Notamacropus eugenii: one gene and its partners. The main gene of each other region encodes a partner of the protein of the gene in region 2 in a complex. Links are inferred from orthologs where the notes say so. Each region holds a gene or a part of one and is shown on either strand. Other genes may lie near its edges.

Region 1 (7,460 bases), on a different chromosome or scaffold from region 2:
ATAATGTTGCTTCAGTTATACAGCTTCATATAGTCTGATTAAAGTCTTATCAATTGAACATATAAAGTGTAATATTTATTTCTCTACCAAAATCCAAACTGGAGATAGGCTAAGGAAATGAGAAAAATGCATCAATAGGGTGAAAAAGGATTTTCTAAGCTGCCTGTAATAAGCAGGAATTAGCATCAGAGAGGAAGCTAAGTGTTAGAATGGAAAGTCAGTAATTCCTGAATTCCAATCCTACCTCAAATTCTTTAATACCTGGGTGAGGTTGGGGGTTTCCTCAGTTTCCTCACTGCTAAAATGAGTATAAACACATGCATCTGCCTTACAGGGTTATTGTGATAATGTAAAAAGTTTTGCAAACATTAAAGAGCCATCTATGTAAATGCTAAGTTTTATTTGAGGCACTAATATTCTAAAAGCAAAAAGCAACAATGGAAAACTACACTGAACAAAGTTAACCTGCTTATTGTGTTCGTCCTTCGTTGCCGAACAAGACAATGCCATCAGAGAAATGATAACATGACTGTCACTTGACTTTGTTTTGAGTGAGGGAGGGCTGGGCGGGTCACCAGCCTCACTTCTCCTCCAGAGCCATCTGAATCCAGGGACCAGGTATTCATCAGGATGACTGGAGATGACTCAGGATGCACTGGGAGACCTTGGCCCCTTTAGGTCAAGGTCTATGCAGGTACCCACTTAGGGTGAGGCAACGCCCATTCATTGAACAGGCCATTTAAGAAGACAAGGCATGGCCCCCTTAACGAGGTCAAGAAAAACAAAGACATCAGGCTGGGTGGGAACCAGTAACAGTTACTATCGATAATCACTGTAAAGCTAGGAGGGTCAAGAGGAGCCCTTAGGCAGGGGCCCATTGCACTCCCAATTTGTGTAGGTTTAGGGTTTTGGGAGAGGATAGGTCAGCACAGAACAGGAGAAAGGGAAGGGAATGGAAGGCAAAGGAAAGGAAGGAAAGGGACCAGTAAAACCCAAGACCACCGGGCATCTTTTGGCCATCCAAATTTACAGTCCTTTGGAAAGAAGAAAGGGGAGGGGGAGGCAGAGAGGAGAGGAGGAGCTGAGTTACCCATTCAGCCAGCTGCATCTACTCACAGGACTGTGTTTGTCTTTTGTGGCCGAAGAAGACCATGCCACCAGAGAAATGATGACATGACTGACTTTGTTTTGAGTGAGGGAGGGCTGTGTAGGTCACCAGCCTGGCTTCTCCAGAGCCATCTGGTCACTGGATTAGCCTGCTTATACAAATGGACCCAAGTCCTAATCCATGTCATATTCACCAGTGTTCTGCTAAGAGTAGCCTCTGAACAGTGTTCTGAATTGTTCACATCACTGTTTCCTTTCCATACCACTGATGTAGCCTTTAGGTTAAAGCAATTTCCTTCACATGGGGTTAATGCAGGCGTTTAACGTCCTTTAAACTGAACTGGTATAGCTCTGCTTACAATCTCTGAAGCTAATTAGTTTTCTTAGAATTTACATCTGATTGCAAATTAGCTTCACAAATACTGTAAAACGTCTAAATTTTGTCTCAGTCTAACTTTAGGGGAAATAGCAAATTCCTTGAAAATTTATTGTTCCTTTACGAAAATACAGTCTTGGCAGTTAATAACAAATAGCATCCCAACTGTCAGGTGTATTTACAAAAATACAGACTTTGTAGTCAATGACAAGTGTCAAAGACAAAATGAGAAGGCAATCATTTTAAACTGCAAAGCTCATGCGGAAGTAACGACTGATAATGGAACAACTCCAAGAAATGGCAGAAAAGTGTTACTGATAGAACCGAACCCCAAATTTCTAACAAGTAACTTGCAACTGTGAATTTTCCTCTTGCATTTAAATACTGTAAACCATATTACATTTACTGCGCTGTTACAGATTATCATTTATCACATGCAGTGAGGAAAGGTTTTACCTGATGAAACTGTAGACAGAGATTTAATCTTTAAAAATTCAATTTTAACGGGGCTTACAATAACAAATTCTAAATATCACAGAGTGTGGAGAGCTCCGTGAGATGCGGCTCGTAAGTTTAAAGCGTATGAACACGATGAAGTGTACGATGAAAGTTTCACCCGACACCACACGGTGCCAGAACCGACCCCACTTGGCAGATGTGACGTAAGCCATCACACTCTCCAGGCCACTTCACGAGGTTCCGTTCCAAGCCCGCCCGGCCCCACACCCGCACATTCACTAGCAGCTGCTTAAGGCGCAGCCCAAAAAACGGGGTATCGAGAAGGAACGGTGATCTGGCGGGGGGCTCTGCACTGCGGTCCCAACCACGGCCCTGCTCCATAGGGGTTCTCCTGGCTCCAGCCCCCTTCCCAGCCGCCTCCCCAATGCCCCTCTCATGCCCACGCAGCAGGCGCCAGGAAGGCCCCCACAGGACGGGGCGGGGGAGGTCTGCACTGCTTCACGCTGAAGGCATAACGCAGCGATGCCATGGCATTTCGGTGGCACCACCACGGCGGACGCCACTCACCATGCCCACCGGCAGGCGGGCCAAGGGGCAGAGCGGGAGGAGGAAGGGGGGGGGGGTTGGAGGCGGGAGGCCGGGAAGGCGCTGCTGGGGTCGCTGCCCGGCCGAGAAGCAGCCCCGCGGGCTCGGGCCCGGAGCTCGGGGGTCTCGCGGGGCCGCGCACGCCCACTCCTCCACTCGCGCGGGGGGCGGGGCCGGGGCCGGGTCGCGGCCTCCTCTCGCTTTCATCAAACCGCCGCTCCCGCAGAGCCCGAGCCAGCCCCGGCGGCGGACAAACGGCCGGCCGCAGCCTCGCGCGCCCAGAGGCCGGCGGCTCGCCCTCACGCGCACCCGTCACTCACCTCCACCATGACGCCGACCACGTCGCCCGCCCCGCGAACGGAGAAAGGAGAAACCGAAATCCAGACAGAGCTCCCGCCGCCACCGCGACGCGGCTGCTTCCGGAGTCCGGAGGCGCCGGCGCCGGATGTGACGCAAGGGGGCGCATGCCCATTGGATGGTAGCTGTTGCGCCTGCGCGGGCTCGAAAAGGACGATGGGGTTTAGCTTCCAGAACTGTCTCCGTCCCACCGTTGGAGGAAGCCGCAACCTTGGTGGTGGCTGTACCGGATGAGCTCTGCTTTTTCCGTAGAGCCAATAGCGTGTCCTGGATAGACCGCTTGGCTTGCGGGCGGGAAATCCTAGCCCCGAATTCTGTTTCTCTCCGAGCCTCAGTTTCCTAATCTGTAAAATGAGGGGTTGGCTCCCTTTCACCTCCACGTGTCTGATCCTCAGGACTTACTGCCCTGTGGGCATGGGCAGGGCACTTAGCCTGGTTTCCCCACTTGTGTGATGGCTGTCATGTTCCTTCATAGCTAGACCTTCATCTTAGCCTGAGACAAGGAAGGGAGGAGATGGCGTTTGTCTCAGTCTGGCCCTTTGTGCAGGGCAGATGAACTGTGTCGTGGGGTAGCCCCGGAGCCGCAGGCGGGGACCCCCGGGCCTGGAGCCACAGGTGGAGGACCCCCGGCCTGGAGCCGCAGGCGGGGGACCCCCGGGCCTGGAGCTGCAGGAGGGGGATACCTGGTTCCCCCCAGTGCCGCAGGGGAAGAGACCTTTTTCTCCTTCTGTGCCTGAGTTTCTTTTTTTTTCCTTAAAATTTGGGGATTGGACTAAATGATTTCTAACAGGATTGCAAATCCCTAGGCTTGAGAAAGTTAGGACCCTGTGTTATATGAGAAATTAAAGGGGAGATAGGACAAGGCAGCCGGATCCAGGCCCCAGCTCTTCTCCTTATTTCCTGATGTTGACCTGAAAACTTGGTTATAGTAAAGGCAACAGGCTAAATGCAAGCATTTTATGATTTAATTTATTCATTGATCAATTCCCTATTAAAGACAATGGTAACACAATGCATTATGGAGCCAGAAATGTTCTGACTACCGAATTAAGCAGCCTTACATCTGCTTTAGGACAAAGAAGTGTTCTGCTTTCTTCAGATTTATGGTCTCCATAAGTGATTCACTAGACCATTAGAAAGGAATTTCTTAATTGCATAGGTTGTAAATACAATAAGATAACAGAGTTTGACAAAGTTTCAGGTAGAAATTACGACCCAAGATGTCTGTGTTTTCTTTACTGTTAACATGCCATAACATAGTATATGTCTACAAATACTAAGATATGGAAACCATCCCGTTATTCAAGATAGTGTCTTAGGTTAAAGGTCTCTTAAGGAATGTTAAGTCAGCCCTGGCTGGCTTTTGTTGACATAAGAAGAGACATTCTCTGAGTTTGCTTCAGAGAGAACAAAGAGATTATTACAAAATTTTATATTAAACATTATCACTAAGTGACCACTGACATAGTTTCATTTCTCTGGACCCCAGTTTCTGACAAAAACGGGGTTCAACAGTGGTTGATGGATTTAGATGAGGAAAGGGCCTCAGAGCTCATATATGATCACTAAAAAGTTTGAGGATAGGAGAGGTACTGACTGCCAGATGGAGATGTAGATCTGTAAATCTTATGACCCAGCAAGTTAGCAAGAACCCTATGAGAGACAGCCAAAAGTGAAATTTCCACAGTTACTAGTTGATGAAGTCATGGAGAATAAATCAGATAATAAGAAAGCCAGCAGAGTGCAGGTGGACTCAACCAGTCAGGACATGCAAAAAGGTGGTCTTTAAAAAGTCATAAATTTTTTGATAAGCAGGTCCAGGCCTGAAACTGGCCAGAACCAGTCAAGGAAAATGACCTAGAATAAGCTGGAGAAAACTTTTCTTCACTGTGCTTGCTTAATGAATCTCATGTATTGTTGAGGGCCAGGATGGAGTGCAGTTGACTAGTTCAGGATGGGCCTTGGGGAAACTGTTCTTTGAGACTGGAATGGCTCTCCATGCCAGCCAGATATTGATGTCTCTGTGAGACAAGAGAACTACAGAATACAAGGGATATATAAAATAGATGCCTTCTAGACTAACGGTCTTTAAAGACAATAAGACTGGCCAAATCACTAGGACTGGAGATGAGCACATAGACATGCAGTTTCTCTCTATATATCTGACCCTCAGATCAATAAACGGAGTTGCCCTGTCTACTCCCACCTGCCCATGTGTCTTTCTTCTTCACCACTGTCACCAAGCCACGTGGGGACCGCAGGCCCTTGGCCACAATGTATCTAAGCAGACGCACCTGGCATAGAATTATCCCTCCATTTTCTGGTCATGGGTCTTACGTTAAAACATGTTTGGGAGTGGTGATCACACAAAGGGTGGTTACATAATGGGCATGTAGAGAAGGTGGTGACCTAATGGAAAACGGACCAATCCAGCTCCTGGTGTGAGAATCTGTCTTGAACTAACAGTATATAGCTCATCTCGCTTCTGTATTCAGTATTCTTTCTTCCTAAGGTGGGAAGGGGGGGAGGGGGGGAGGTTGGCCCTAATTTGGCCAAAGGTGTTCAATTCCTCTGAATTCTGCTATAATACATTTTCCTTGATACCTGTTAGTGTTTCCAAAAACCCCATCCCCACTTCCATCTCCCAGCCACTTTTCCATAGACCCCTTTCCTTTCCATTTACCTATAGGATGCCTGCTTTGCCTCCGGCATGGAGTTTTTGCGAGTTTCTCAGAATCCATGCCAGTGGAGCACAAGCACTGACAGATACCAGACTAATAAAGCTTCTACTGCAGATCAGAGGTGAACTACGTTTGTCAACTTAGAACCAACCTGGTCACGTTGAGAGAAATTGATCATATGTTTGTCCACTGGATGATGCTTTTTTGTTCGGTTGTTTTCTGCTTTTTTTAATAGTTTGCAAACTACATTGATAGTAGGAATATGCAGATAAAATCATAGATCTTTGAAATATTGAGATTTGATTTAGCAGAGGCATTTGGTTGAATAACTATCTTGTAGTCATATGTTCCCTTGATTCATTCCCTTTCCCCCCTTTGTTTCTATCTCATTTGCACACCTGTATGCTGCTCTCTCCTAAGGCCTTCTGTCTTTTCCTGCCTTCTTAGCTATCTTGATGGAAAGGCAATAAGTAGGAACAAGACATCATGGAGAATCTATAAGTGGCATAATGACCATCTGCTTCTTCTGTGTCTGCAAATACTCCATTCACTGAGGTGCATTTCTTTTGTTTTAATAATTTTTCAGATACAGGGTGGAACTTTTTTAGTATTGTTTTTGTGTATCCTTCTAGGGAATTTTAGATCCTCATAGCTCCTTTTTCTGTTTATAAACCGTAAGAGAAAGGAGGGAAAGAGAAAGGAAGGAGGAAAATCGATAAGAGTGACCCAATGCAGGCAGCAAGAAGTGGGGTAGAGATGGAAATGGAAAATCAGCAAGAAAACCTGTGCCCCTTGAATAAACAGAAACCAAAGACATTTTGACCTTATCATTCTGAGGGACTGCCACATTCTTCAAGATTCAGCTATGCTCCAACACACTCATAGATCCCTCTGTGGCTCAATAATCATTCATTAAGCCTTTCCTACATGCCAGGAATTGTGCCATGTCCTGGGAGTAAAAAATGGCAATTTCTGCCTTCAAGAAGTCTCCATTCTGATGGAGACAACGTGCATAGAACTTTATACACAGTACTGATTGACAGTGTAGGGAAGGTAGTCTCTAAGGGGAAGTACTTACGTTGGAGGGTGGAGGCTAGAAAAGACCTCTGGTAGAAGATGGAGTTTGAGCTACTATCTTCATCTCCTTAGGGATCCAGGACTTTACCTTCTTGGTGCTCAGTATGGATCTGCCCTCATCCAACTATTGTTCCTTGATGTCCAATTCTGCCTCACCCACCTACCCACTTTTTTTTCAACATAGAAGGAAACTCATGGCCAAAGTCACACATTTAGTGGGTATCAAACTGGGCCTATGACACAAATTTTTTGGCTTGAAACATTTCATAAACTCACTTCCTAATACCTTTCCAGTCTTCTTATATCCTGCTCCCCTCCATACAATGTATAGTCCAGTGCACTGGCTTCCTTGTTGTTTGTTCCTTTACCAAAACATTCCATCTCTAAACGCCAGGTATTTTCACTGACTCTCCCCCATGCCTGGAATTCTCCAATCCAGGTTGTGATACTAGTTAGAAATTTGCTAGCTGTGTGATTGTGTGCAAGTGCCCACCCATCTGAGGCTCAGCTTCATCATCAGTAAACAAGAATATTAATGCTTGCACCACTGAACTCACAGGATTGTGAGGAAAACAGCCTAAAGTACTGTATCAGTGCAGGGAACATTTAACTAGAAGCAACATGGAACAGCAGAAAGAATATGAAATTAAGGCAGATGCTCTGAGTTCAAATCCTGTACTTGTATCTAACCCTGGCTTAGACAAGATGATCTCTGAGGTGACTTTCACTTCTAAATCTACGATCCTGTAATCCTGTGGATAAAAATATAAACATGATCTTAATATACATTAGTTAATATAGTAGCTGTCCCTTCTTGT
Region 2 (7,163 bases):
GGTGATTTTCCTTCAGCACAAATCTGACCATGTAACTCACCTACTCAACCATCTCCAGTAGTTACCCACTGCCTCTAGCTTCAAACATAAAGACTTCTGTTTAGCTTTTAAAGCCTTTCACAAAGTGGCCTAAACCTATCTTTTTAACCTCACTAGGCTTTACTCCCTCTTCTGAATTCTGAGAGCCTGTCAAACTCATCTTTTCTCTGTTCCTCACACAAGAGACATTGCATGTCTCTACCTTGGTACCTGCTGTTCCCCTCCCTAGAATGCACCCCTTCCTGACCTCACAAAATTTTTCTCTTTCTTCAAGATGTAGCTCAAGTCCCACTTTCTACATGAAGCCTTTCCTGAGCTCCTAATCACTGTCTTCCCTCCCAGGCTACTTTTTATTTAACTATTTCCTATTTATTAGTTTTATATTTATTCTGTATATACTCATATATATACTTAAGTAGAGTTTATTTTTTAAAATTTAAGTCCCCAGTGAATGAGTAAGTAAATTTTAAGTAGTATTTATTAAGGGCTTTACTATGTGCGAAGTACTACATAAAGTCCTGGGGATACAAATAGAAAAGGTAGTCCTTGCTCTTAAAGAACTCATTTTGATAAGAGAAACAAAACATAAAAAGTTTCAGCTTCAAGTCAAATAGAAAGGTTCCACGGTCTTTTGGGTACAGGAGCAAAGCACCTAACTAATGCTTCCTCTTTAATGTTATTTCTACCAATAAAATTATAACAGTTTCAGCTGTTAAGTCATTTGACAAGAACTTTGGTGGCAATAACTTTCTTTTATGGGTCTTCAGTAGCTAGAGGTACAGCACCTGCAGAACAGTGCCTGTCCTACAATAGGCAATAAAAGCTTATCAACTGATTCTGTGTAATGAAGGAGGGTAGACATCTCTAATACATCTTTTAGTACCAGCATTCATTCGTAAAACAACATTTATGAAAGTATCCATATGTGACCTTAAGTTTAGAAGGATCTCTAAAATCCTAAAGGGATTTCCAGTCAAGTAGTTCTATGCTCAAGCTTCAAGCATTTCAACAGAACATAGGTGAAAACCAGATGTCGGATGGACTTCAATACTTTCATTTTCAAGGAAGAGGAGAGAATTCTCCATATACTCACTTGGCTCTTCTCTCCTCCTGCATCTGGGGTTTGGTCCTTTGTGCCTTATCACCCATTCGAGTGCCCTCCAGTTTCCCCACCAGTGAAAGGACCTCCCCTGTCGGCTCATCACGCCGTGTTCGGTCAATCAGAGAACGGTCAGCTTGGAGGACAAGGTTGGAGTTCTGGAATAATCACAATATGAACAGAGCTACAACGACAGCAGGACTGAATGCAGGCAACTCAATTCCTGCAAATGTTTCCCCTTACTTAGATGATAATTCTTGACAATAGGGCCTGGTTTCACGCGTACACATGAGTACTGCAATGCTTCCCTTTCGAGGGGAGGATAGGGAGGAAGTGAATTTGTTACTCAAAAATAGTTTTTAAAATGAATGTTAAAATAAGTAAAACATCTCTTAAAGAGAGAATGAAGTGCGTAGTTGTGCGCTTAGGAGCGGGCACTTCCTAACAATACACGTAGATGCGGCCCAAACTCTTGTAATAAGAGGATGCCCCACTCCCGGGGATGCCTCCTGAAAACAGCACCCACAGCAAGTACACAACTCGGAGTCTATGAACCAGGGGTGCCTGACGGCGGGAGACAACGTATTCCCAGCCCGGTCTCTCGGGCGCATTCTTCAGGATTCCCGGGGGGCTCTAGTGGTCTCCGCGCTCGGACTCTGTTTCAGCGGCTGCCCTTCACGACTCCTTGGAATGTGGTCGCCTCTAAACCCCTCTGTCCACTTTCTACTCCTCCCTCCTCCCGCCCCCTCCCCCGGCCCCGCGCCGAGTCGGGCCCGACACTCACGGCCTTGTACTCATACTGCAGGCTCCGGGCAGTCACATCCGCCATGGCTGCGCCTGCTCAAGTGCCCCGGGGTCGAATCTATCTCCTCAAAGCCCTTCTTTCCTTCTATCTACTCTTCCAGTACTACGCACACACCACAGAAACGTTAGATAGAAGCAACGATGGAAGGAAGGAAGGAAAGAGCTGAAAACGCCTCACTTCCGGTTCCAGGTTACTCGACCTCCTCAATTGAGGGGAGGGAAAGGAAATGCGCATGTGCACAAATCCCCAAGTCTCAGAAAGCCGGCTTCCTTTTATTCAACGCGAGAGTCGCGCGTCCGGCGTGACGTTACTGTCGGTAGTTACGTCCTGCGCGGTCGCCTCGTTTGCGCCGGGACCGACAGCGTGCTAGTACGCATGTGCAACAGCAATCGCGGACAGGTCCGAGTAGTTTGAACTATGTGAAGTGTTGCTCTCTCTTCTTCCTCCTTAGAGGCAAATATAAAAGTATCAATAAAACGGGTCGTTCCTTATACAAGACCGATATCGTCAATTTTGCCATGACTGGGACAACATAATGGTTAGATAGGGAATCAGGAAGACTTCAGTTCGAATTCTTAATATTCTTAAAATTCGGGTTCTTAATGTTCTCAAAATTAAAATTAGATTTCTTAAAACAATGACTGCGGGACCCAGGGCAAGTGACCGCTTCTCTGCGACAGTCTTCTCTCTAAAGTGGATAGCTGTGTAACTATTGGCTGTTATTCTCGTAAGCTATGTGTGCCCCCCGTTAGCCCACAAAGGCCTGAGTGCCCGCGGCGTGTCACGTGTCAGGGAGGTGATGACGCTGGAGCGATTTTGCTGGGAGACGCCCTTTTTGTATCTGTGCCTGCCTCCACTGTCCTCTATCTGCGTTCGTCCTTCGTTTTCAGAGGACCATGACGGGAGAAATGATGACGTGACTTGCGCTGGACTTTGATTTGAGGGCGGGAGGGCTGTGCAGCTCACCAGCCTCGCTTCCCCCCTGGGCCGTCTGGATCCAGGATGACTGGCCACGGCCCAGGATGCACTGGGAGGCCTGGGGCCCTTTAGGCCTAGGTCTCTGCAGGTGCTCACTTAGGGGGAGGGAAGGCCCGAGGAGTGAGTAGGCCTCTTTAGGAAGTAAGCAGGGATGTCCCCTTTAATGAGCAAAAGAAAAAAATAAGTGAATCCAGCTGGGAGGGAAAGAGCTACAGTTACTGTGGATGATCACCCAGGAGCCTTCACGTGGAGTTTGGGCCGTGGAAGGAAGGGAGGAAGCAAGCTAGCTTTCTGACCTGTACTACACCTCATGGAGATGCTATGGCTCTCTCCCGGGGGATCCTGGACATTGCTCCCTCAGTTATTTATTAAGTGTTCAGGCACCACACCAAGCCCCTGAAGTACAAATATAAACAGACAGAAAGCTCCTTCCTCAAGGAGTTTATAGTCTAATGGAGAAAGACAAGGGGGAAGGGAAAGAGGAGTGAAGTGTTGCTTTTGTAGAGAAAGTCCTGTGCAAATGAACAGGAACACATCCTGGAGAGGAATAAAGATTGATGGGCCTGGGCCTCCTCTTTAAAATGGAAGATCTGGGAGGAAACAGCCAAATAGGGAGGTAGACTTGCAAGGGTAGGAGGGTATTCCAATGGGAAAAATATTCCAGAGGTGGTGTGAGCTTCCAAAAGACTTTCAGTAGATCAATGCAGAGCATAGGAGAGACCTTGGTGAGTCACACTGGAAGCTCCAGGGCTGATATGTTTCATAGCCTATAGAATGCCAACAAGGAATAAACCTAGACTTGGGGTTGTAGGATTTAAATCTGGATTAAGTAGCCTCTAAGAGCCCTTTCAGCTCTCAGTCTATGATCACATCACCTTAAAAAACATGTGTCACTATTGAGGAAAATTAATATCATTCTGTATCATATTAATCTGAAATCCATCCCATTTCCTATTTGGTCAGACCCCAGTTGTTTCAGTTTAAGCTCACCAAGCAGTTCCTAAAGGGCTATGATCAAGTAATATGATCATTCCCGGCCCCTAAGTTATCTACTCATTAGCCAGCTTAGACTGGACCTCTTCTAAGTGGGACAGATTTCTTATCCTTGCTTTTTTCTTTCATCAAAGGGGAAAACAAATAGGGAGAGCCTGATTAAAATGGCTTTTGTTTTCTAGTCAATCCAGGTGTATGGGTTGTTCAGGAGGGAGTAGCACTACTGATTTAAGGACTTACTGAGCCCTTTTCAGGGCTGTTTATCCATCTTGAGTGTCCACCTTCACCTGTCTGTGTCTTCAAGAAGCTGTAGTATGCACAGTAGCCACATATTAGTAAAATTGTTTCCGCACATGGCCTAAACTAGGTTGACAGGTCTCAAATCCATTGGTGCATTAGAGGGATGTCTAACATGTGAAGACTTCTCCCACGGAAACAGGCAAGTGAAAATAACTTGTTCCAATGGCCATGAAGACAGCTGAAGTAGGCATTGTGGAGTGCTTAGAGCTTAGGCATCAAAGACTCCAAGGCCATCCACTCCATCCCAGGCACTCCCAGTCTTCTTGACTTATGTCTTACCACTGGACTTCTATGACTCTGGAAGAGAGTGTGGTTAATGACTTTATGCAACTCTGCCTTTGTTGCTATCAGTCCTCTTTGAAAAACTGAAAGACAAACAAGGCTATGAAACTCTGGAATATGGTTGTTGAGAAAATGAGATCTCATGTATTACTAACATCCTTTTACAAAGTTTGTGAGATGATTTGTGATTATGAAATTATACCTGGAGTGGTATATATTGAAATTACATCTTGAATTGACCTAGTTTTAACAGTCTGTAGTCTTAGAGTCTTTATTAAGAGGTCAGTCTACAATATTTATTCTCAGTAACATGAGAGTGATTATAACTGAATGCAGCCCGAAGCAATGATTAATGAAATTTTCTATTAAAGTTGAATCTTATGGGACTGTAATTGGTAGTCTGAATCTGATTCCAGGTATAATAATCAGAAAATGTCATTGAGCCAATGATTCATAATTTCAGCTACCCTATGGGAGTGACATCTGGGACTTACCACTGGTGGAGTTCTATCTCAGGGAAAAGTCAGGAGAGTGACTTTTGATGTGAGTTAAGGTAGGACTCTCCTGAATGTATGACATTTCCTCTTGAATTGAAAAATTTCCCACCAGGCTAATTCTGAGCCTGGCTGTGACATTCTATTAATGCAGTTGGCGGCCTATATGACTCTAGCCTGGAATTTACATCAAGCTAGGGGAGAATTTTCCCCTTTACTATGGCTATGTCCCTCTTTTTCCTTTTATGACAAATTTCTATAATCATGGTAGGTGATTAATAGAAGATATAAAAACAATATTAAATCTTTATCTAAGAGACTAATAATGGAACACCTCTAAGTTATTGTAAGAAAATGCGAACTTGGAATGCTCTACCACAGGTTGGGCACAGATAGTCCATGTGAATATTTAGGGTGGATGCTCCAATTTGCTCATTCTATGTTTATTTTGTGCTGTCTCAATTCTGCTTTGTTCATGGAGCACAGCACCCTTTATGATGTAGGCACACCATGCTGAGTGGTCCTGTGCTAGTGTCTCCCATGTTGCACAGTCAAATTCAAAGTTCTTGAGAGAGACTTGAGAGTGTCCTTGTATCACTTCTGAACACCATGCGATCACCTGCCCCATGTGAGTTCTCCATAAAATAGTCTTTTTGGCAAGCATACATTTTGCATTTGAACAATGTGGCCAGCCCATTGGAATTGCGCTCTCTGAAGCATAGTTTGAATGCTTGACAATTCAGCTCAAGCAAGGACTTCAGTGTCTGGTACCTTATCCTGTCAGGTGATCCTCAGAATCTTCCTAAGACAGTTCAAATGGAAGTGATTCAGTTTCCTGGCATGGCACTGGTAGACTCTCCATGTTTCATAGGCATACAACAATGAGGTCAGCACAGCGGCTCTGTAGACCTTCAGTTTGGTAGTCAAATACCTCTTCTCTCCCAGACTTTTCTTTGGAGCCTCCCAAATACTGAGCTAGCTCTGGCAATGAGTACATCAACCTCATTGTCAATGTGAATATCCCTGTAAAGTACACTACAGGAACAGTGCCTTTGGTGTGATGGCTGCCGAGCCCTTTCCAGGGCTCTTTCCACCTTTGGTGTCAACCTGTTCCACTCAACTCTCACCTGTGGCTCTAAGTTGCAGCATGCAGTGGCCACACCCTGGTAAACCATTTTGGCAGACAAGCCAAACCAGGTTGAGGGTAACCAAGGGTTCTCAAACCCATTGGTGAGTTAGGGGGGTGTCTACCCCAAGCATGTGAAGACTTCCTTTGGTGGAATGTGTGGATGAGAGCAATTTGTTCCAATGGCCATGAAGACAGATGAAACAGGTAATGTGGAGCGCTTAGGGTGAGAGAAGTAGAAGCAGCATTTTATACAGAGGATCTGGACCTGGACCAAGAAAGGGATGAGAGATAGAAGGTAGTATCTTGAGAAAATAGTAGTGTTCCATGAAGGTTTTTAGGATGGAGGGAGACTTGGGCATGTTTGAGTTCATTAAGTTAAGAGCCAGTAACTAGGAGGAAGTTAAAGATTTGAGAGAGAATATATCTCACCACAAGGTGGAGCTTGTGAGTGAAGATAGGTATCCTCCTACCCAGGAGCTAACAGTCAGGTAGAGTTGACACAAATACAACTCCACCTGAGGATATGAGTTGGATATCCTCACCTTTCTTCCCTGGAACTAGAAATTTTGGCTTTAACTGGGGGTGGGGAAGGGGATATTGAGATGTAAGAAGGGAACTAGCCACTCAAAGCCTCTCAGACTAAAAACAGCTATTCTTTTCCAATCCATGGACTTTCTGAGTTTTTTATTTCTGGTACCTTTATTAGTCTGTGGAACTCCAATATGGTGTGCACTCTGTCTCTCTCTCTGTCTCTCTATCTCTCTTTCTCTGTGTCTCTCCCTCCCTCCCTCTCCCTCTCTCTCTCTCTCCCTCTCTCTCTCTGTTCCCTTCCCTTTCTTTCCCCCCATCCTCCCCCAATTTCACTTAACAAAAAAAGTATTTCCCATCTTTAAGAAATGGAACTCTCCCTTTCTTTTGTAATTTATTCAATAACTACAGCACATAGCTTGAGTTTGCTGGCCAAACAAATTTATCATAACTAAAATGACTTACAAATCAAATTAAACATTTAGGGGGAAACACACACACACACACACACACACA
Region 3 (7,540 bases), on a different chromosome or scaffold from region 2:
TTCTCTCTCTTATTTTTAATATGGCTAGTATGGAAATCTTTTGCATGATTTCATATATATAACTGATATATTACTTGCCTTCTCAGTGGGTAGGAGAGGGGATGGGAGGGAGAAAAAGAATTTGGAACTCAAAATTTGAAAAAGAAGGAACATTAAAAATAAATAAATAACAAATCTGAAAAAGATAAATAAAATTTCAAAATATCACACCTCCTGAAAAATTTCCATCAAAAATCCTGAAAAGGTTAGAGGAAAGAATAAAATAAAGTACTTCACATTCTCTATTCTGGCAGTTAAGTGGCACAGAGAATAAAACACTATTCCTGGAGTCAGGAAGACCTGAGTTCAAACACTAAGACACTAGCACCTCACACGCTAAGCTGTGTGACTCTGGGTAAATCATGTGACTTGCTTACCTCAGTTTCCGCAACTGTAAAATGGAGATGGCAATAGCACCTACCTCTCAGAGGCGTTGTGAGGATAAAATAAGATAATATTGATAAAGTGCTTTGCTAACCTTAAAGGTATATGTAAATGCCAGCTATTATTCTCAGTGACACAAAATTTCATATCCTCCAAATAAAAGGGGGAGCGGGGGTGGGTAAAACTTTATTTTAAAGTAGTCTTACCTCATCAAGATCTTTGGCTTCTCTACCCAATTCATCATCATCTTCATCAGAATCTAGCTCTGGTCCAATATAATTCCCAAACTCATCATAGAGGTCTGTGTCCATGATGCTAAATATCCATGGGGAAGAAAACAAAAAAATATAAGTAATCTGTGGGCAGGCAAAGAAGAGAAGGGTGAATATATGTTCCCTCTCCTGACCATGACTGACTACCTTTAAACTAGCTTCCATTTCAGTGTAAAATGAACAGTACCCAGAACTGTTTATTTTTTGCTCCTCCTGAGTTCTGTTATGCTAGCTGCAGAGCAAAATAAAATCCTATGCTATATGTTCCTTAAAGATCAATTAATAAAACTTCCTGTATATTTTTGTACTACTTGTACTATTTCTCCCACAGATGCTTCCAAGCTTTCCACTCCAAGAAACACCAACCAAGTATCTACTGCTTTCTAAGATAAACCCATTTGATATAAATCCTGTGAAGTTTAAGTGTACAATCTGGTTCTCTAGAATTTTTACACTTTCAAAATACTTTAAGATTTGTTCTCATTTGATTCAAACATGTAAACTCCATGAGGACCAGAAGGGATTCATTTATGTTTTGTATCTCTCCAGCAAACGAAAAGTGACTTTCACATGAAAAGTACTTAATAAATACTTCTTGAATTGTATATACTGTCAGTGTTGGTTAGTTGGTTAATTTTACTCAACGACTTTTTTTCTTCTTTGACAGGAGGAATGGTTAGGTGAATAACAAAGGAAGTGTAGGCAATGTAAAAAAAAAAAAGATATCAATAACAAAAATTTAAAACAAACATTTGTTGAATCAACTTCCAGCGAAGCCATAAACATGCCTGTGTTTCCCTTACTAAGCTTCTACTCCAGTGCCCCAATGTGATAAGGTGACACTGGTGTTACAAGTCAATCCTGGCGGAACTACATTAGCTCAGGCAGGTCCTAGACAGGCTAGAAAATTTTCTTGTACTAAGCGCAGTTCAAGGATTAGATTAATTGAATATTCATTACCAGAAGGTATCTTATATAGTAAATCGCCAAACCATGACCTATTTTTGTTATTTTTTAGTTAAGGTAACCAAACCATGACCTATTCTTTTGTTTTTGTTTTTTTAGCTAGGATGACTTGAGAAGTTTTCTTCCAAAGTGTGCCAGGATGTAAATATGGTGCACATATGCATGATAAAACATATCTTCTAGTATTAAGGGCCCAGCACTGTGTAGAGGGCATCCCAAAAGCTTTACTACAGTTTAAAACTATTGAAACTTAAAGGTCCTACTCAGCAGCAAGCACCCTTCTAACAGGACTTGGATTCGCTGCTCTGACGCTTATTAGTGAAACAAGCTGGGTGGCCCAGTGCAGTTGGGAAGATCTGAGTTCAAATCCACACCAGATTTACTAGCTGTGGATGACCCTGGGTAAGTCACAGCCTCTGTCAGCCTCATTCTCCTTATCTGTAAAATGGAGATAATATCAGCGTCTACCTCGGAGGACCGCGGTGAAGAACAAACGCGCTAACGTACGTAAAGTGATTTACAAATCTTAACGTGCTTTATCAACGTCCGCTATGATGAGGATGGCGATGACGTCACTTAGCTTCTCAGGACCTCATCCGTCACCTAAGGATAAAGCACCTGGGCCTTCTGAGTGATGGGGGAGTACAGGGGAAGGTAGCGGTGTATAAACCTTAAAGCACCTGACAAAATGTGTATTATTGCTCATTGAACTCAACAAACACAGTGTCTCCTAAGGGCCATGTGCTGGGGATAGAAAAGGAGGAAGGAAAAAACCACAAAGAACAAGTCCCTGCTCGCAAGGAGCTTCCACTCCACTAAGGGACACGCAGAAGTTAGGAAACTTGCCCACGGTCACGACCGGGCCCATCAGTGACACGCCGGCCCTCCCCACCACGACCAGGCCCGGCCCCCTCATCCCCCCTTCTGGTGGGACCCGAGCAGAGGCCGGGCCTGCCCCAAGGCCTCAGTGCCCTCCTTTGTAAGATGAGGTTTTCTTTTAAGGTCCACCCCTTCCACATCTGCCAGCCTCGGACCCCATCCGATCGAGTTCACGCCCCGACTTCGGGGCCGCCGACTCCTCACCTGCAGCTCTAAATCCCAACGCCGATACCGCGCTCTCTCCGTCCGAAGATGGGCCGGCGCCTGCGACGCTCGCTAGGAAGGACCCCGCGCGACGTCGAGGCCACGCCCCTTTCCTCCGCCGCCTGCTACTCTGCCTGAGGTGCCGGAGTAGGATAGAGCCATTCCGGGCTGAAGGGGCGGTTTGGGGGAACCCTGCGACGCGCCGGACAGGAAAGCGTGACGGCCCAGGCGACGTTAGCGAGCAAGCGCGGCCTTCATTTTATCAGGCATCACTAGGGCAGCTCGAACGGGGAGAGGCCCGATCACGTGGGCTGCTTGAGTGAGACTGTTGCTAGGCAACTGTTTCCGCTTGGCTGTAGCCTGAGCCCCCTGTTAGGCAGGAGAACCATGAGGATTTTTCTTGAGTTGAGGGGGTTAGAGGGTAGCGACGGCTGACCAGGAGCTAGGGTAGGTTCGCCTTCTGCTCTACTAGTTCTCAGGGCAGTTGGAATTGGGTCGGGCACAGGATGCCTGGGCTCTGCGTGGTCTGTTTACAGGGTGGGGGCGTGTGTGTGTGTGTGTGTGTGTGTGTGTGTGTGTGTGTGTGTGTGTGTGTGTGTGTGTGTGTGTGTGTGTGTGTGTGTGTGTGTCTGTGTCTGTGTGTGTGTGTGTGTCTGTGTCTGTGTGTGTGTGTCTGTGTGTGTCTGTGTCTGTGTCTGTGTGTCTGTGTGTCTGTGTGTCTGTGTGTTCTCTGGGTCTCAGGGTCCTCCTCCAGTGGGAGACTTGGACAGGATAAGCTCTGAAGCACCCTTCCAAAGAGGGGCTTGGACCACATGGGTTTTGGAGGGGTTTTACAGATCTTAATCTGTTAGGGTTTGTGGAGAGCAAATGGCCACAACAGTTTTGAGCCTTCAGGGTAGCTCCATCCTCCCAGAGGTGCAGGGAGCCAGTTTGCATTGAGACCTGAGAAGGAAAGGGCAGAAGGGACTGGCTGCAAAGGTATCCAAATCAAGTAGAAGAAAAAATTTCCCTTCATCCATTTTTCTGTCATAGTTCAATTCGGGGAATGTTTATGAAATGTCTAATTTGTGCAAGACACGAGTCTCTAGGCATTGGTTTTTCACTAGTCCACATCTACCCCTGCTGCTACAGGTGTCCACTGAGTTGGAACCATGTGATACAAGCGACTCCAGAAGAGAGCAAGACCACAAGGTCAAGAAGCATTCATCCTAACCAATTCTTTCAGATACTCTTATGTCTCCTTCTAGCTCAGTTATTACAATTGAAGAGGCTGGAAAGAGTCATCCACTCCCTTAGAAAATTCAGCAACCTTTGTGTGGTTCTACTCCCTCCCCAACACTACATCTGTCTTGGATGTACAGGACTTGAAATTTATCCTAGGCTCAAAAGGAGCTATAGTCACATCTGCTGTGTGACTGCGTGACCATATGTCCTTCATTCACTCCAAGCGAGTTCTTAGGAAGTTCTCTAAAGTCTGAATTCTAAGGTGCCTCCCAATTTCAAATGGCTTTTTAAACCACCTTTTCAATAAAGAGACTAACAGTACATGTGCCAATTTAGTCTTTAGTCAAGAAGCAAGTCTAGATGGGAATATGAACTTAGAAGTCCTCGGCAGTAGATGGAATACTGGACTTGGAATCAGGGTAGTCTGAGTTTGATACTGCTTCAGATATATGCTACATGTGTGACCCTGGACAAGTTACTTGCTTCTCTGAGTCTCAGTTTTGTCATCCATAAAATGGGGATGATAATAGTATCTACCTCACAGTATTGTTGTGGGATATGTAGGTGTAATTACAAACCTTAAAGAATTACATAAATGTTGTCCATTGTTCCCAGTGAAACAATGGTGTTATGTGGGATCTTGGACCATTGCTACATATCTTAGATCCTTTCTTTTTTAAAATGGGGAGACAACTTTTGTACTTTCTCTTTGAGATGAGTGATAATTTGGACAAAGTGCTTTAATCTTTTTAGAATGGCAAAGAGTTATCATGATATACAGTAGCTTCTTTCCCTGGTAATGTCTCATTGCTGGACTTCACCCTCTTTTTCACTCCCAGGTTCCAGACATGGAAAAGACTGATACCATTGACTTTAGGGCTCTGGAGAAGGAGTTGCAGGCTGCACTAGCTGCTGATGAGAAATACCAAAGAGAGAATGCTGCCAAGTTCCGGGCTGTGGAACAGAAGGTGGCCTCCTATGAAGAGTTCAGGTTGGCTTACACAACTTTACCCCAGAGCTGTCCTAACTATATTCCATGGCCCAGTTAGCTTAAATAGTTATAGCACCATGTTTATGCAGCTGAAGTTACAGGGTTCAGGAACCATTAGGGCAGCAGCTCCATACCTCCACACCCAGCCTGGGGAGTCTTCCCTCAAATACTGTCTCCTTTGCCCACAGGGACATTGTCCTTGCCTCACACCTGAAGCCTTTAGAGCGGAAGGACAAGATGAATATCAAGAAGACAGTGCCTTGGAACTGTCAGGTGACAAGTACCACTGCTCAGACAGGCATCACTCAGGAGGAGAGCACTTATATCTCCCAGGTGAAATAGCCATTCTATAGTCCATTGGGGAACCCTAACCTTTACTTGTAATGCTTCTTTTTCTTAATTAACAAAACTTTTACAGAGCTGTAACTAGCGGAAACTGCCTTTAGACTAAATCCAATCCAATCATTCCATAAACATTTATTAAGCATCTACTGTGTACTGGGCACTGAGCTAAGTGCTGGGAGTCTGGGGACTGCAGGGGGGGGTCAGTGTCCCAGAGGACAGTCTGCTAAGCACACGTAGTACAAAGTCCTACTCGTACGTGCTGTCATACTTAAAGGGGATGGCCCATCTTTCAAGAATTCCAAGGAGGCATTTGTACCCTAGGCATCCTGAGGACTTCAAGGAAAGGACATCTCTGGGGAGGAGGCATGCAAGCCCCACCACGTCATCACCTTGGGGAAAAGCTCCATTCCCCTTACACTCAAGAAATCCCATTCATTCAGGTTTAGGGTACACAGACTCCAGGCTGTGACAAGTACAGGGTACAGAACCATCTCAAAATTTGGATAAAGAGACAGGTTAGTCAGATCTCAGCCAATCAGAGCAGTCTCTTAGATTCTGTGACCTTGGCCAGGATCTCTGTACTCTATAGAGAGGAAGTGCCGAACTCAAATAGAAATAGATCCCTGCAGGGCTAGATATTGACTTAGAGAAACCACAAATTAACATTATCTATGTTATATCATATTTTCCCAGTTCAACCACTGTTTATAGAGCTGTAACTAGCAGAAACTGCACCAAATTCTGTTGAGGGAGTAGAAGGACGATATGGGCTCACTGATCCAGAGAACATTCTGCTAAGGACATGAAGTATGAAGTGCAGTCCCATTGTATGTACAGTCACTATGGTTTGGATGAGGAGATGGGATCTGTCAGCTCTCAGCCAATCAGATCTACCTCTAGGATTCTGAGACCTGTGGCCTACCTCCCTTCCCATCTTAGAATATGCTGTATCCACATTTTGTAAATTTCCATTATATGATGCTAAATCATGTTGTTATTTTAACACCCTAGTCCCCAAGATCCCACTTGTGCCTGACAATGGGAAGTTTTAAAAAGCCTATTTTATATGAGGAAGTTGAGGCCCACAAAGGGTCATGTTTTTCCTGAGATGAAGACTGAGTCAGTAGAAAAGCTAGGAATAGAGCTTGCAAGTATTGACTCCTTAGTGTCTTGAGGACATAACTCTTTTTACTTTTCCCTTTGACCTAGAAGGGAGATTGTCAGCCTGAGACATCTTCAGATTTCTATAGGGCTTGGCGCCGCTACCTCCAGAATGGACCAGAACGCTATCAGACCCTGTTACAGCTTGGGGCCCCCAACTTGGGCCACCTTTTCCGAGTAGATGTGGGTTTTGGACTCCTCGGTGAACTGCTGGTGACATTGGCAGAGAATTTTAAGCCAGCTGACCGTGCTGCTGTACTGGAGATCCTTCATAGCCTATCCAGAACTGGCCGATTTGGCCTCAACCTGAGCCTGCTGAGCAGTGCTGAAAGAGAGAGCTGCCAAAAATTGTTTCAGAAACTCCAAAGTATGTATGTTACCAGACCCACAGAGGAAGAACTGATCTGTAAGGAGCAAGAGCTAGAGAAATCACACGGTAGGAATGATGAGGATGAGAAACTCCTCCAGGAGCTGTCAGAGCTATACCAAATTGGCTAGAGATCTTGTCTTGTTCAGGACAAACAGCAAACCTGACTAGCTCCTGGAGATTTGTTTTTCCTAGAAAGTCCTTAATGTTGTTGGCCATCTTGTTGCCTAACTCCAAACATTTTCTTTTAACCTTGTCCCTCAAGAACTGCAGCAAAAGTTTGGTTTCACTCATCCTAACCTTAAATGGGTCTCTTTAAATCTATATGACTTCAAACAGCCAAAGGCTCTTATGAGAGCACTGGGAAATTGTGACACATTTGGCTTCTCATCCTTAAAACCTGCTAAGAATGGCCTCCTGTCCCTAAGATTAAGGTCCTTTACCCTAGTGCTTATCATCAACCCATGCAAGCAGAATTTTAAAATCTGTGATTAGTTATGTCCATTAATATCTACAAGGATCTACCCCAGGCCAATAAAGATAGTTTATTGACAGACTTTGACACCTTCTTGGGGTGGGGGAACACCATTTTTTCCCTAGAATTGAGTTTTTCTGAGTTAGTGTATGGAGAATTACCAGCAAATGATTTGTCAAGCTACCCAGGTTTTGAAGGGTGGTTCACAATTGTCAGACTATAGACATACTTCT
Region 4 (7,841 bases), on a different chromosome or scaffold from region 2:
AATTTTCTTCACAATAAGCTAGAAGCCTTCCTTAGGTTCTCTTCATATTGTGTGGATACAAATGAAGAACACAGACTGTCCATTGTTATTTTACCAAATGCTTTATTTTGTATTCTAATTGACATCTTGTTTTTATATCACCTTCATTTTCAAATATATTCCTCCACTACCAACAGGGCCATCTCTTGTAACAAAAAGTAGAGGAAAAAAGACAGTTCAATAGAAACACACCACTGAATCTGATCTTATATTTAACATTCCATACCTATGGTCCTCAATCTCTGCAAAGATGGGGGAGCGAGAGATGGAATTTTTCACTTCTTTAGGACAAGCTTGGTCATTGTTAATACACAGCATTCAATGGTAGAATGCTTCCTTGTCACAAAAACAGCTGGGCAAAAAGAATCAACATAAAGACCATGTATGATAGCACTCTACAACAGTAGTCCACTACATCTCTACAGAAGTCCTCTAGTCAAGGCTGGTCATTATATTAATCTTGGTCCTCAGATTTAGTATTGCTTTCCTTTATATCAATTTTGTTACATATACTGTTTTTATTTTCGGCTTACTATGCTCTGCATCAATTGATACAGGTCTTTCTTAGAATCACAGGTCTTCCCAAGATTCTGAATTCTTTGTTATTACTTTTGTCACCTCTACAACAAAGTGTTATGAATACTTTACTAATATGTGTGACCTTTTTTCTTTCCCCTGGAGGAACCTCCTTTATAGGATAAATGCCCAACTGTGGGATGATTGTTGCCCAGAGGTCAACAAAGGGTTTGACTGTTTTTCACACAGTTCCAAATCTGTTTTCTTGATGAGAGGGACTAATTCGCAGATTCACCAGAGGTACTGTATTAATAATGTATTTGTTTTTCCATAACCCCTTCAGTTACTATTACCATTTTAAAAATGAAATTTGCCAATTTGGTGGGTGAAACCTTATAGCTGTTTTAATTTGCATTTTTTTTTCATATTAAGGATTGAGAGCCACTGTAGGTAGTGGATAAAGAGCTGGGTCTCAGAATTACAAACACCCTTAAGTCCTCCCTTTGTCACACACAGCAGGCAATGAAAGCTTGGCCAAGTCAGTTAGCTTCTTGGTCCTCTAGGTCACTCTCTAAGACTCTTTAAGTCAAACAGAAGTTGTTTGCTTACTTGCATGGCACAGGGTTTCATCCGGGATGTCTCTGGTCCAACCCCCAATTTAGTAATTTAGAGTAGTGCTTCTTTAATTGTGAAAAAATTGGCAACCGTAAAAGATTTCTGAACACATAAGAATCAAAAATAAATTAAAAGATCAAAAATGTAATGACTCCAAGGTGTTTCTGGCTTTGCTTGCCCATGGGTGCATGGTACAACTTCATTGCAGCCTTGGTTCTGAACACGACATACGAACTTTGTACTTCACATGCCTTCAAGCCCACGAAGAGCCAAGAACATTTCGAAAAGTGGTCTGCAGCGGAAAAAGTTTAAGAAGCCCTGATTTAGAGTACCTTATAGTACTTGCATTTCTTTTAAAAAACTGTTTATACCTTTTTACCACTTTATTAGGGAATGGTTTTTGATCACATATATCTTAAAGGTCAGACTTTTATCAGAGATAGTATAAAGATTTTCCCCCAATTGAGTGTCTACAAATAGCTTCATTTTTTACACTGATTTTGCTTGTGCAAAGTTTTTTTAATTTTATGACTCAAAGTGACTATTTTTATCTTTCAAGATCGCCACTATTTCTTGGTTATGTGTTAAGAGTCTTTTCTAACTACAGATTTGAAAGGTATCTCCCCTTTCATTCTCCTCTTTTTAGGTTTTTTTTTCTTAAACAATTTGGAGCTTATTGTGGCATGTAGTATAAGAGGTTGATCTAAATTTAATTTCTGCTGAATTGCTTTCCAATGTTCCCAGCAGGTCTTGTTAAATGTGAGCTCTTTCCTAAAGTGGTTTGTATTTTGGTTAACTGGGCTGTGTTCAACTGCTTCTTGGTCTTAGTTTAATTAAACTATCTAACTAAACTACCAAATGGCTTGTAAGTCTATTGCACTTTACAACGTGGTCTGAGATCTGATTTTCAGTGATGATGTCCTTCACACCACTTCTCTTGCATAACTTGTGATGAATTACACAGTCTCCATCGCTCCTTGCACGATTTCTGACCTCAGTTCTTCAGAGGCTACACACTACTGCATGACTAGCAACATTTTTCATCACTGCAAGAATACTGACATTAAAAACAAAATAGGCCTTCATCCTGGGGGGAGATTGTTAAAAAAAATAACAAAATAAAACAACCTGCACAATCACCCAAAGGCAATGCTGCCTGCTCTATTCCTCCAGTTCAGTTCTTAGCCAGACTCATCTATCTGCAACATCTTATCTCAGATCTGTGTACTCCTTAGAGGTATGCTGGATCCAGATCAAACCTATGCATGAGTTGACGGTTACATTTTCAATATAAGCATTTTTACAGCTCACAAATCAGAAGAGGTTATAAAATCATAATTTGATTTCTTTGTTGATTGTCTAGATTTAAGAAAGTAATGAAAATACTGATAACTAATATTAAACTCAAGTGTGTGTCATGGGTACATTTTTTCTGGAGAGCCAGTTGTTAAACATTTATCAGTACAGCACTATTCATATAGATAAATGAGCTCTAAAGATTGCCCATCCAACTGCAAGTCTATCAGTCTGAAAGATGATCAGAATCATTACTCAGAGACATTTAGTAGCTTTCCCATGGTAGATAATTCAACTAGTAAACCATCAGTCAGGATTGAAACCATGTCTACCAACTCAAAGTCTAGTATTCTCTGCACTAAACCACACTGTCTCAGTAAAAGAAAAAAAGATTTAATGGAATATTGTAGATAAACACAAAATACACATGAGGCTAAAGGTGCAACTTTGCCAAGGTCTTCTGACTTTGGAAAAGTGTGATGTGAGATGATTTACCCATAACCTTTTAGTGAATTTTAGAGAAGAGTATTTCTCACCCTGGTAAAGCAAATCACCAGTACAAAGGCACTCAGTGACCACCACAGTTCCAGAGGGAATTCAAGTCTAGATTACTAGCAGAATCTGGAAGTTGAAACAATAGTTCAGTGAGCAGTGATTCCCAGCCACGGTTTTGTGAAACCATGTCATTCAGGTGTCACCAAAATGTCCACAGGATTATCGATTCATAGGCCATTTAGTTCAATGCCCTCACACTGACAGTTTAAAAAAAGAAAACAACAACAAAAAAAACTGAGGCCAAGAGAAGTGAAATGACTTGCCCAAGGTTCAAACCCCACTATAAATTACATCCTGTTTCTACTGCATATGGTAAATTCTTTCCTCCAAACAAGAGTGAATTTTAACTCACTTTAATTTAGAAGAATGAACCACAAAGGACAGTCAATAACTGGGTGCCAGGCAATCACTGTATAAATCCCCAAAGGACTTATGAGTGGGAAGAGAACATGTCGTTTAACCCCTTAATTTTGCCAGGGGAAAAAAATGGAAGTTTTCCATTCCATAACCATAAAAAGTTAACCTTTCTATAAAACAGGTATATTTGTATGATATCCCTCACAGAGCAAATTAGATAACAAAGTACTTTATAAACTGCATAAATCATAAAACCTTTAAGTATAAATAAGCGTATTATTAACATGTGGGTATTACTGATTCAGGGAGCTTCAGCCTAGCAGGGCTCTGGGGTGGGATTATGAGCTTTTGGAAAGAGGTCTAAACGTAGGGACAACATTACTGGACTTGGAGGACAGGAGACTTACCTTCACATGCTGGCCCTGACGTACTGTGTGCCTTTAAGGGAGTCATTTACGTGAGTCAGTGTCTCGCTTCAGATCGCTCTGGGATGCAGCAGGGACTTATTTAATAGATGCTTACTGACGGTGCCTGACCCTAAGTCTGCTTTTCACTTGTAAAAGGGGAAGGACAGAAGTGTGACCCCTGACCAGGATACTACAGTGTGCAAGGTGTAAAGTTCAAATACCACACGATAAACACGGCGCAGTGAGGAGGATAACACAGCACTTCAACGGAGAGGCCCAAAGTGCTGAGAGGTCCAGGGGTGAATTTGGGAGGGACGAGTTTGTTAGTTTTATGTAAAATTAATTTGGGTTTAGCTGAGGGACACAGAGTGTCCCACAAGTCTTACTGGGCTAAGTGTGCTTCACGTTTATAAGAAGCGATGAGTTTAAAAAGATGGGTAGGGACTCAAGGAACGACCAAGAGGGAGGAAGGAGCAAGGCATGCTGGGAAGCGGACCTGTTGGCCGGCGCTGACTCAGTTTCCTCATCTGTGAGAAAAAAGTGAGTAAAAGACACCAGCCGGAAAGAGGGGCTCGGAGGACCCGCCGCTCCTAAAGCTTATGGGAGGTCTGGGGCTCAAGTTCCTCCAGGGTAAGACGAGGCGGCCTCGCGGGGCAAAGGAGGATGGGGTTCGCCGGCCTAACCTGGGGGAGTTAGAGACGTGGGGCATACCGGGCCGCGGTGCAGCGAGGCCGGGCTAGGGCCTACTAGGCGGCCCGGGCCGCTGAGGGGAGCCGGAGGAAGAAGGAGCCAGGCCTCCCCCTCCCCCTCACCTGCGCTATGAGGAGAAGTCCCGGCAGCAGCCGCACCAGTACCGCCATGTTCGCCCGAGATCCCCAGGGCCCCACGGCTCCGGCCTCCCTTCCCCGCAGCCTCAGCTGCCGGACGTTACCCAGCAAGCCCTGGGCCCCGCTTCTTAGCCCCCTCGTGCCTCAGCGCCGCTCCGCGGCCGCGTGCGCCTGCGCACGCGCGTCACACTTCCGCAGGGCCCGGGTGCAGGGTGAAAGGCCGGGGCGCGACTCACGAGGCGGATTGTGACGAAAGCAAGATGGCGGCGAGCCGACGACGCTGCCGCGGCCGCCGCCACAGCGCTGCCAGGCGTTACCCAGCAACCTCCGGGCTCCGCCTCCAACCCTAGGCTCCTGCCCCATCTGCGCAAGCGCGTCCCTGACGTTAACGCCGAAGCTTGCGCCAAGAGGTGAAAGGGCGCAGGCGCCGGACGCAAAGGGGACCCTGACGGCTGCAACATGGCGGTGAGCCGAGGGGGGGATACGCTGCAGCCGCTGCCGCCGCTGGGGCGGGAGGGGGACGGACTGACGGACCCGGCGCTCGGAGGCCCGGGCCCCTGATCCGCTGTGCTTTCTCTGCAGGACAAGGAGAAGAAGAAGAAGGAGAGCATCTTGGACCTCTCCAAGTACATCGACAAGACCATCCGCGTGAAGTTCCAGGGAGGCCGAGAGGGTAAGAAGGACCCCGCCCCCCCGTCGTTCCCGTCACATGGTCTGACCCAGGGTCTCCGTCCTCCCCTCACACCCCCCCCCCCCCGCCTGCCTCGGCAGGTGGTACATTCCGGTGGGACCTCCCTGGCTTCTGGAGCGCTCTCCATTCATTTCTCTCCGGGGCTCTGGTAGGTCCGCGCCTTCTGGGTCCCTGCCCCCAGGGAGCGTGCTCATCGTCTGGGCGGGCCAAGAGCCTGGAAGGCAGAGTCAATCCAGGGCACAGGTGCCAACTGTGTACCGGGTAGAGAGGCCGCCCTCGGCCTAGGAGTCAGGAAGGCCTGCTAGACACTTGCAGACAGGTCACTACCTTTCGGTGCTCGTCAGCTTTCTGAGACTAGGAGTTGTTGATCTGCATTCTGGAAGTCAGTCGGACAACGAGCACTTATTAAGCACCTACGGTATGCTGTGCGCTAGGTCGTGCGGTAGGTAGGTAGAGCAGTGGACCCCGAAGTCTGGAAGATGGGACTCCGAGCGCAGATACTTAGCAGCAGGGCCACTGAGCAAATCCGCCTTTTCTGCTGTAAAACGGAGATTCAGGGAGATACTTGTGCTGTACAGATACTGTCATCGGTAAGTCAGGCCCTGAGCTGACAAAAGCAAAGAAGCCTCTGCTCTCAGGTGTCTCACCGTCCAGTGGGGGAGATAATGTGAAAAGAACCGGGCAGACAGACTTTGTCCAGGATACACTGGAGATTTTCAGTAGAGGGAAGGCATTAACATAAGGGGAGATCAGGAAAGGCCTCCTGGAAAATGAGATTTTTGCTGACATTCCGTCCTGGTGTTGGTGAGATCACAGATCCACACTCTATCTGGGAGAGTGCCAGCTCAGTGACCCAGAGAGAATCCTAATTTCCAGCCTTGATACAGACTGGCTTTTTGACCATGCAGGAGTAAATCACTTAACTTCTGTACCCCAGGTCACTTTCCAAGTTGGGTGACTAGTAGTTTGGTGAAGCCTACAGATTCCTCAGAATAATATTTTATTTTATTTTTTTATTAAATTATTTTGTTTTCAGTGTTCTACAATCACTTCCATATAGCTTAGATTTTTTTTCCCCTTCCTCTGGCTCTTTCCCTCTTCCTTCCTGCTCCTTCCCCCCTCCCTCCCCACTTCTCCCTGAGACAGCAGACACTCTTATATAGGTTCTACACATACATTCCTATTAAATACATTTTCACCTTAGTCATGTTGCATAGGAGAATTAAAATGAATGGGAGAAACCATAAAACAAAACATAATACAAAAGAAAATGGTCTGCTTCAATCAGAATCATATTTTTAAATGCACAAAATTAAACAACATGGGATTATAAAGGGAACCAATTCCATTGAAACAAATTATCAAAGAATTTCTTTTTTTAAAGTTCACAGACCATAGGTGAAGAACCTCTTCTGTAAGTTATTATAGGTGAGTTGTTGTCAGTTAATAGCAAGGGAGGCAGTTTCCATGTGGAAAAGAATGTGCAAAGTCAGTGTTGTGCCCCAGGAATAGAAATATAAAAAAATAGCATGATACTCAACAAACATTGATGAGGCACCTGCTGTGTGCGTGCGTGCGTGCTTGTGTGTGTGTACACCTTTGCACAAATTTACACAGACTCTCTCTTTATGGAGCTCCCCCCCACATAGAGGGAAGAGACATAAGTGTAAGTCATGACAGTCATGGAGCATACCTTGACTACCTGCTGCTCGACCTGCAATATTTAGATAAGACACATAATCATAATAGGTAATTGTCATTCAATAAACATTAACAAACAATTAATAATAAATAATTTAATTTAAAAAATAAATAATAATAAACAATAAACACACAGTAGGTATGTTTAGTAGTCTCTGTAGTTCTGTAGCAGTGGCAGGGCAGGGTTTGCAGTTTGTAATGCAAGCATAAATAATGTCCAATATCTTGTAATAGATAGTCCTTCAATAAACCTTGATTTAAGGGTGTCCTGTAATCTTCCCTGATACTCCAGCACTATGTGTGGATCCCTGTCTTTCGGGGTGCTGGGGTAGATAATGTGTCTGAGTTAAGATTGGGTCCTTTTCCCCTAAGGAATACTCAGTAGGATCCTAGATAGAGACCTCCTGGAAAGAACCTAGGAGGTCATCTCTCTTCATTTCACTGATGAAGAGATCAGAGACCCAGAGAGAGTCTATGACTCAAAGTTACTCAGGTTGTTAGTAGCAAAATTGGAGCTGGACTCTGGTCTTCTGGCTCCAGACCCCACGTCCCTCCCACCACACCAAGGCTTGAAAATATAAACAGTAAAACAAATCCCTAAGTCTATGAGCAAGATAAAAGAGGGTGTTGGCTTCATGGATGTGAAGCTGGCCTCGGAACTGGGATGACCTAGGCTCAATACCAGCCTCTGTGACCAGGGCAAATCGTTTAACTTCTCAGTGCCCCTAACCTGCATCAGGAGTTCCCTAGAACAATGAAATTACAAGTCAGGTATAAAACAAAGCATGTCCTGTTAGACTGTGTTTTGGAATGCGTGTTTTTGAGAGTTTTGTTTTC

What was found.
Region 1: SNRNP200 (region 2) and PLRG1 share a complex: the UniProt entries of both Homo sapiens proteins name them as parts of the minor spliceosome. The link is inferred for Notamacropus eugenii from reciprocal best matches to the Homo sapiens genes SNRNP200 and PLRG1.
Region 3: SNRNP200 (region 2) and EFTUD2 share a complex: the UniProt entries of both Homo sapiens proteins name them as parts of the minor spliceosome. The link is inferred for Notamacropus eugenii from reciprocal best matches to the Homo sapiens genes SNRNP200 and EFTUD2.
Region 4: SNRNP200 (region 2) and LSM7 share a complex: the UniProt entries of both Homo sapiens proteins name them as parts of the U4/U6-U5 tri-snRNP complex. The link is inferred for Notamacropus eugenii from reciprocal best matches to the Homo sapiens genes SNRNP200 and LSM7.

Annotation. Positions count from the first base shown.
Region 1 is NC_092877.1:153,068,660-153,076,119, forward strand, and holds the start of PLRG1 (pleiotropic regulator 1), read right to left. Parts: upstream 3,015-7,460; 5' UTR 2,857-3,014; coding exon 2,848-2,856; intron 1-2,847. UniProt on the Homo sapiens protein: Involved in pre-mRNA splicing as component of the spliceosome. Component of the PRP19-CDC5L complex that forms an integral part of the spliceosome and is required for activating pre-mRNA splicing.
Region 2 is NC_092872.1:606,974,479-606,981,641, forward strand, and holds the start of SNRNP200 (U5 small nuclear ribonucleoprotein 200 kDa helicase), read right to left. Parts: upstream 3,006-7,163; 5' UTR 1,968-3,005; coding exon 1,923-1,967; intron 1,297-1,922; coding exon 1,133-1,296; intron 1-1,132. UniProt on the Homo sapiens protein: Catalyzes the ATP-dependent unwinding of U4/U6 RNA duplices, an essential step in the assembly of a catalytically active spliceosome. Plays a role in pre-mRNA splicing as a core component of precatalytic, catalytic and postcatalytic spliceosomal complexes.
Region 3 is NC_092873.1:349,016,339-349,023,878, reverse strand, and holds the start of EFTUD2 (116 kDa U5 small nuclear ribonucleoprotein component), read right to left. Parts: upstream 3,005-7,540; 5' UTR 2,745-3,004; intron 739-2,744; 5' UTR 735-738; coding exon 630-734; intron 1-629. Other genes in the region: DNAAF19 (dynein axonemal assembly factor 19), read left to right, coding at 4,817-4,959, 5,148-5,292, 6,514-6,963. UniProt on the Homo sapiens protein: Required for pre-mRNA splicing as component of the spliceosome, including pre-catalytic, catalytic and post-catalytic spliceosomal complexes. Component of the U5 snRNP and the U4/U6-U5 tri-snRNP complex, a building block of the spliceosome.
Region 4 is NC_092875.1:63,775,936-63,783,776, forward strand, and holds the start of LSM7 (U6 snRNA-associated Sm-like protein LSm7), read left to right. Parts: upstream 1-4,823; 5' UTR 4,824-5,071; coding exon 5,072-5,077; intron 5,078-5,194; coding exon 5,195-5,285; intron 5,286-7,841. Other genes in the region: SPPL2B (signal peptide peptidase-like 2B), read right to left, coding at 4,598-4,645. UniProt on the Homo sapiens protein: Plays a role in pre-mRNA splicing as component of the U4/U6-U5 tri-snRNP complex that is involved in spliceosome assembly, and as component of the precatalytic spliceosome (spliceosome B complex).